2 linked regions of the Drosophila melanogaster genome follow. Changing the gene in region 1 together with any one later gene gives a genetic interaction. Each region holds a gene or a part of one and is shown in the gene's direction. Other genes may lie near its edges. The genes, in order: or and p.

Evidence for each region.
Region 2: of or (region 1) and p, changing one enhances a phenotype caused by changing the other (phenotypic enhancement), as found in Drosophila melanogaster (one study listed by BioGRID).

Annotation. Positions count from the first base shown.
Region 1 is NT_033778.4:23,965,615-23,969,443, forward strand, and holds or (orange), read left to right. Parts: upstream 1-2,324; 5' UTR 2,325-2,405; coding exon 2,406-2,474; intron 2,475-2,538; coding exon 2,539-2,630; intron 2,631-2,691; coding exon 2,692-2,894; intron 2,895-2,951; coding exon 2,952-3,163; 3' UTR 3,164-3,329; downstream 3,330-3,829. Other genes in the region: Alas (aminolevulinate synthase), read left to right, coding at 1-513, 658-1,034; CG34213 (uncharacterized protein), read right to left, coding at 1,555-1,848, 1,902-1,992, 2,044-2,078; CG10904 (uncharacterized protein), read right to left, coding at 3,529-3,829.
Region 2 is NT_033777.3:8,668,615-8,672,540, reverse strand, and holds the start of p (pink), read left to right. Parts: upstream 1-1,856; 5' UTR 1,857-2,041; intron 2,042-2,612; coding exon of another isoform or gene 2,613-2,716; exon of another isoform or gene 2,717-3,012; intron 3,013-3,366; exon of another isoform or gene 3,367-3,460; intron 3,461-3,835; exon of another isoform or gene 3,836-3,926. Other genes in the region: CG8036 (uncharacterized protein), read right to left, coding at 1-830, 2,613-2,716. UniProt on the Drosophila melanogaster protein: Has a role in the biogenesis of eye pigment granules. Eye pigment granules are specialized forms of late endosomes or lysosomes. Biogenesis of pigment granules in the eye requires molecular components required for protein delivery to lysosomes.

The DNA of each region.
Region 1 (3,829 bases):
ACAGCGGGGTTCCCAAGCACATCTTCCGGCACAACGACGTGGACCACTTGCATCAGCTGCTGAAGCAGACGGACAAAAGCGTGCCCAAGATCGTCGCATTCGAGACGGTACATTCCATGACGGGGGCCATCTGCCCGCTCGAGGAGCTGCTTGACGTGGCCCACGAGCACGGGGCCATCACGTTCATCGACGAGGTGCACGCCGTGGGATTGTACGGTGACCACGGGGCCGGGGTCGGTGAGCGGGATGGTGTGCTGCACAAAATGGACATCATATCGGGCACCCTGGGCAAGGCGTTCGGTAATATTGGTGGCTACATAGCTGGCACCCATAACCTGGTCGACATGATTCGGTCGTATGCGGCCGGTTTCATCTTCACCACCTCACTACCGCCGACTGTACTGTGTGGCGCCCTGGAGGCCGTCAATATCCTGGCATCGGAGGAGGGTCGCCAGCTGCGCCACTTGCACCAACGGAACGTCTCCTACCTGAAGAGCCTGCTGAAGCGAGAAGGTAAGACGTAATTCTGGCATTTATGTAACTCGAATTGAAGGTTATTCTCGCACTTTCGTTTTATTTTAAGTGATGGCTATAAATATAGAAAGAGACACTTAACTTTCAGTTTACTGACTGCATATATAATTGGCCCCATTTCAGGTTTCCCCGTCGAAGAAACGCCCAGCCACATCATTCCCATTAAGATCGGAGACCCTCTGAAGAGCAGTCAAATCTCAAACGTGCTGATCGAACAATTCGGACACTACCTGCAGTCGATTAACTACCCAACCGTCGCCCGGGGCCAGGAGAAATTGCGGCTGGCCCCCACCCCGTTCCACACTTTTGAAATGATGAACGCCCTGGTTACCGATCTAAAGAAAGTGTGGGAAATGGTGGACCTCTCTACAAACGTCCCTCTTTCGCCCAACGCATGCATGTTCTGCAACTCGGAGAGCTGCTGGCACCAGGACACCTCCCCGGATCTGGAGTGTGGCATTCCCAACTGCCCTCGCCTGGAGATCTCGCTTGCAGCATAGTTGCCTCTTGGAAACACGACTATAAATGAAGCATTCGAATCATAAAGCTATGCCTAAATTATCTGTGCGGTTTTGGACAAATAAACAATGGTTTTGGTGCAATATACATAAATGACGAAATTTCAATTGGAATGGGCTAAGCTGATTGATGACGCTTCTATATGGGGTGATAAGACATGGACTAGAGTGTCACCTTCGCTATGAAGTTGCGTGTTTTTCGAGCCAGCTCCATGCAAATGATATTCAAATTGGGGAATCGCGTGGAAATATTTTCATTGAACCTTGATCCACACTCGTAAGCACTTAAAGGGCTTACCTAGTTTGAAATATTTATATGAAATTAGTCGCATATCAATTTCAGCAGTGGCAGGCTGAATCAGCACAATTATTGCTGATAACCATGACCATCCTATTACGGACCAATGTTTTTGATAATACCACAATAGATAATGATCCGATTTTATACACTTTGATTAGAGAAGATTTTGTACACATTTAGTAAGATCTATTGGGTCAGAGACTAGCCGAACAGCTGGAGATCGTAAACAATGATTCTACCAAATAGATCGGTGCTGGACTCGAAGACGAACTTTAGCTTTGAGCAGGGGTTTTCCCGGACTGATTCCGCAATCTGAAAAAGCTGTGGGGAGTTGATATCTTCTGGGTAGAATGGCTCTTGGTGAACTTGGGCTCCGTCAGCGGAGTACATGATCAGTTCGGATTTTTGGCCAGAGAATCCGCCTTGGAACTGGAAACTAAATCCAGCTACTTTCTGTGGCTCCTCCAAGCTAATGGTAATGAATTGGGGGGTTCCCTGAAATGGCCGTTTGGAGTTATATTCTTTTTTTCCAAATCTTAGGATGATACCTCATCTGAATTCCAAGAAGTTTCTTCCCGCGTATCAAACATGAATTGCTTTCCGTGCTGCTTCACATCTCTGTTTAAAACCGAGCTCACCCTGCAAACTATACGTTAACTAAAGGGAGTTACAAAATAAAACCCAGAGTACCTGCAGCTGTATTTTACTTTTGTCAAAATATTCATAATTCAATAAAAATAAGAAATAAACAAATCGGAGACCGCGAGGTTAAAGGCATTAGAGATGGGCAACAATCAGAAATCCATAGAATTTTTTTTTGTACGGATTTTTAACACCCGATTTAAGAAATTGCTTTAAAAAATATATTTTCCCTAACTTTCTAAAATATGCATGATTCTTATTAGATTTTTGAAATAAATACGTCAGATAAAGATATATCGATATTATAGATGCTATACCAAGTATTGATTTTGCAGCCCTCGTCGAAAAAGCAAAACAGCTGGCAGTTTAAACATTTTCATTTTTTTTGTTGACTTATCTTAGAAGTTGAGATGATAAAAGCCATTCTCGTTTTTAACAATCACGGGAAGCCGCGGCTATCGAAGTTCTATCAGTATTTCGTAAGTACTGCGACATATAATCCATATAATCTAGTTCATAATAAATTGTCACTATCATTTGTAGGATGAAAGCCTGCAGCAACAAATAATCAAAGAGACTTTCCAATTGGTGTCCAAGCGGGACGATAATGTTTGCAACTTTCTGGAGGGCGGAAGGTGAGCAATATTGTTCCCGCAAATTCCTGGAATATCTTAAAGCACCTCTTTCCTCCAACAGTTTGATTGGCGGATCGGATTACAAACTCATCTACAGACACTATGCCACGCTGTACTTCGTTTTCTGCGTGGACTCCTCGGAGAGCGAACTGGGAATCCTGGACCTGATTCAGGTGTTCGTGGAAACCCTCGACAAGTGCTTCGAAAACGTGTGTGAGCTGGACCTGATATTCCACGCCGATGCCGTCCACCACATCCTCTCAGGTTGGGAAAGCTACTTTGGCAATCCATTCAGATTCAGCTATCATGAATTCGTTTCAGAACTGGTAATGGGCGGAATGGTCCTGCAGACAAATATGAACGACATAATGGCCAGGATCGAGGAGCAGAACAAGATCGTCAAGCAGGAAGCGGGCATCTCGGCTGCACCTGCCCGAGCTGTGAGCGCCGTGAAGAGTATGAACATTCCGCAACAGATTAAAGACATCAAGCTACCTGATCTGCCGCAGGCCATTAAGGACTTTAAGTTCTGACAAATGTGCGTCTGATATAACTCTCTCGTCTAATTGTAATCTGTTGAATCTAGTGCTTTTTCGCAGTCCTTCATGAATTTCCAACAGCTGTCGACTGTTCCGTAATATTAGGTCCCACGTACTCTATATAACTCCCCTACCATAATAAAAATGCAAATGAATTACCAGTAGCGAGAACGAGCCTTACGATTTTGATAGCTTAACAATGCGAAGTTCAACCACTTCCGTTCTATATCGAATGGGGTTTAAAATGTACATACAAAGTGTCTTGCGATGACGTATTCGCATGATCTGTGTGCTGCATATATTAAAGATTTATACCTAAAACGGTGTCCGCTGTATTAAACATGTTCATAATTCTACAATCAACTGTTTGTAAGATCATCTTCTTCGCCGACTTCCAGCATAACTTGCATTATTTTCCGCTTCAGCCTCTTGCGCGAAACTTCAGAGTTCAGGTTACGGAATTCACTGGCGATTAGTTCGCCAAATGCGTCCCATTGATCACGACCACTTAATGGTAAGTGGAAGGGAGAGGGAGCAGCTGGAGCTTCGACAGTTCGATTTGGATCAACGAATTTGGAAGACGGCGCAGGTTCAGGAGGCATCGGAGGAATGGGTTCGCTGACCTTCGGAGGCTGACAGATTTCTGCATCGTTCTCTATG
Region 2 (3,926 bases), on another chromosome or scaffold:
CGGGTGGCGAGCTCAACTTAATGTTGTTGATGTCCACGTCGGGAGCAGCACCAGTCTTGGGCACCGGCTTAGGGGTCAGCTTGACGTTCTTGTTGACAATCAGTCCCTCCAGATGCTTCACCACTTCGGCGGCCTTGTCGCCCAGTGGCTTGCCGTGCCAGTTGTCCAAATCCTCGATGTTGGGGAAGTCCCTGCCCTTGAACGTCTTTGCAATGATGGCGGTGGGCTTGTTCTTGGTGATTGCAGCACAATGGAAAGCCTTGCTCAATTCCTCGACATCATGACCATCGACAACGACGGCATTAAAGCCGAAGGCCTCCAGACGATCACGGTAAACATCCAGCTTATGCTGCAGGGAGGTGGCCTCCGACTGGCCCAAGCGGTTCACATCAAAGATCACGCAAAGGTTGTCCAGTTTATAGTGGCCGGCAAAGTGCAGCGACTCCCAGATGGAACCCTCGGCGGACTCACCATCACCCACCACCACGTAGGTGCGGTAGTCGGCCTTGTCGAAGTTCTTGCCCACATAGGCCATGCCAGCGCCGACGGCGACACCCTGTCCCAGGGATCCAGTGCCCACATCGATGAAGTTCAGACGAGGCGTCGGGTGACCCTCCAGATCGCTGTCGATCTTGCGCAGGTTGTTCAGATCCGCGATGGGGAAGAGACCAGCCTCAGCCCAGGCGGCATACAGAATGGGAGCAGCGTGTCCTTTGGACAGGATGAAGCGATCGCTGGAGGGATCGCGTGGGTGCTTCAGGTTCAGGCGCAGCTGCTGGAAGAACAGCACGGACATGATCTCAGCGATCGAGGCACATGATGTGGGATGGCTATAAAGAGGGAAAAGTAGGCAAAATATTAGATTGTGACAAGGCATTTCGTTTGCATGTAGTTCTAGGTTAAGGTAAGTGCCTAATGAATTATAGAAGTCGACCTCACGGTGGGTAAGTGAAGGCCGATCAACAAAGGAAAAGTGGAACTGAACACTGTGCATACTTGTTAAAAACGTTGTTTAATAAAAGAAATCCATTTGTCTATTGAAGCTTTTATTTAAACCCCCCCCCCCCCCTCTGTTCATATTTCAAATGAAGATTTCTCGAGTATCCAATTGCAATGTACATATAAATAAGATAAGATCCATTCTTGGAATTCAATGTTCCCATGCGATCGTGTTCCAAAAAAAATTGCTTTGAATCGCAGATCTGGCACAACTCCAACCGCAAAGAAAACACGCAACCCCAGACAAAATGGGGGGCTCGTCTTACCCCAGACATATAAATAAACTATAACGAGTACATGCATATGTATTTATTGGCGTTATATGGTGTGATATGTGTGTTTGTCGCGACGTGAGTCCATCGCAATTCCTCACCGGTTTCTGGGACCTTGAACTTTTCTGATCACCAAAAAACCTAAATAATAGCCTTAAAAACCAAATTCTTGGCTTCCACGATTGTGTTGCATGGCGATCTTTGTGAACGCACGTGCTTCTAGATAGTTCCGAAGTGCGTCCCCGTTTCCTGCAGCCATATCAAGAACTATTGAAGGTGATACGGAGTGTTAGCAGTGACCCGGCGCGCTTTTTTTTTTTTTATCAGTTTTCAGTGATTTTCGATTATCATGCGGGGAACACACTTGAGCTGGTCACCTCTAATCGGTCATATCGTGGTCAATGAGTAACCAAACCGGGCTTATCTCGTCGGCAGAGGTCACATTTAGAGCAAACAGAGCAGATCTTATCTTGAACCGTCACAAAAAAAAAAAAAAACGAAACAGAATGGAAAAACTAATGGAGGCGATAAAAGTGTTTTCCTTATCAGCATAGTAACTTTTTTATTTACTGTTGCAGTAATAATTTGATCGCGTCTATCCGAGATATAATTACATTAAAAGCCATACAGTCGTAAATCTCAAGTGTAGGGGATCATTCCATTACTATTCTCATCCCTCTCTTTCCAATTCCACTCCCGTCACAAGCTGTGCTTTCCAACACTTGTATGTACATATGTACATACGTATATTAAATGCCTCTGTTTGATATGTAAGTATGTTTGTTTTTACCCCATGTACATATGTATGTGCTTTCGGCGTTTTGAACGCCACGCACAAAACAAAAGCAAAAGAAATTAAAAGGCAGTAAGAAAAACCTAACGTTTCAAGGTTGTCTAAGGTCAAAAAATATTAGCTCACAATTTAAGGTAGGTGAACGCGGCTTATCACTGAGCACGCAGGCAGGGCAACAAATTCGCAAATTCACTAAAGCTACTGGACAACACGTGGGTTGGCAACTGAATCCCAGGAGGGGTCACTAAAGGAACCGGTCTTCCCATATTTTACTTCTCACATTCATACAAACATAGATGCATAACTATGTATATGCGTAACTATTTTTGTTTTATTTTCTTTTGTAATGTTTCAAAACACATACATATGTATGTATGTATTTAGCAGCCCCCTCAAAAACTTTTTCGCACCCACCCTGGAAATGGAGGGGGTCACCTTTGAAGCAACAAGTGCAAGGTGCACAACTTTTAAAATTCACATCTACACAAACAAATCTAAATACGCACACTTTAATATGCCTATGGACTTTCAGTTATTGATAAACTTACCCCGATTTGGAGGCCTGGGTGGCGTTGATAGAGTGAATTCGCAGTTTCTGGGCCAGATCTTTCAGATCCTGGACGGTCTTAGCTTCGGGCTTGTGGTACGACATCTTTGAAATGCGAATGTAAATTGGATCCGAACAAATGCGGTTTTTGATATGTTGCACAACAAAACTCGGGAGTTTCGGATTCGTTAGCCAAAGGGTGACTCCTCTATGTTTGCAATAGACAGACAAGAGTATCGACGTGGTGGATAAGTAGCTCGAGTCGGAGTTATCAACGGACCACTGCTGCCGGCTTCTGGGAACGAACTGCTCTCGTCGCCGGCACTTCGGTCGCTTTTACGCTGTGGGGGCTCAATCTTGGGAGCGGACTCGCAAAGTATCGGTATCGTCTATCGTCGGCGCTGGAACGAGATGGATATATGTATAAATATGGCATCTTTGCTCGCACACCACCCCTTTATCGGTGCACAGCTGTGGGTGGGTAACTAGTTAGTTTCAAATAGTGCATTGCTGCCTTTCTAAATTCATGCACAATTTTGGTCTAAAATTAAGCCATGAACAGTTGTACCTGAATATTTTCTCATTAAGATTTACAATGCTTTAGTATTTAATATAAGTTTACAAGAATTTAAGGTCCTATTTTTCTGGCCGCGAGTATTAAAGAGCAGCGGTGTTTAAGAGAAGTGCCCTCTCTTTTTGTCACTTTCCCCACCTCGCTCCTGAACAAAAGGTGAATTAGCCGCAAGCGAATTTAACCTTCGATAGCTCAGTTGGTAGAGCGGTGGACTGTAGTTGGAAAAACATGCAATAGAAATCCATAGGTCGCTGGTTCAAATCCGGCTCGAAGGATCGAAAAGATATAAATACCTTTTTTTTATATATTTTGTAGTGCACATACCTTTTTTTTTATATATTTTGTAGTGCACAATTTAAATCAATTTAATTCATCTACAGACATTCAGAATATAACTGAGCTGTTTAAACTAAATAATATAAGAAGGATTTTATTTGGAAGAAATAAACCGTAACTAAATTGATATAGTTTGTGAAAAGCGCCTAGGCTATTAGGCTTGGAAACTATAGGCTTACTGCAATGGACTGAATAGAGAAAGTTGATCAATTTTGTTTGACCTAAATAAGTAAAAATCAAAAATAAATAACCAAATACGGTGCATTTCGTTTGTGCGCATGCATAAAACGAACAACGGCCAAGTTTGAACTCAACCTTCGATAGCTCAGTTGGTAGAGCGGTGGACTGTAGTTGGAAAATTATGCAATAGAAATCCATAGGTCGCTGGTTCAAATCCGGCTCGAA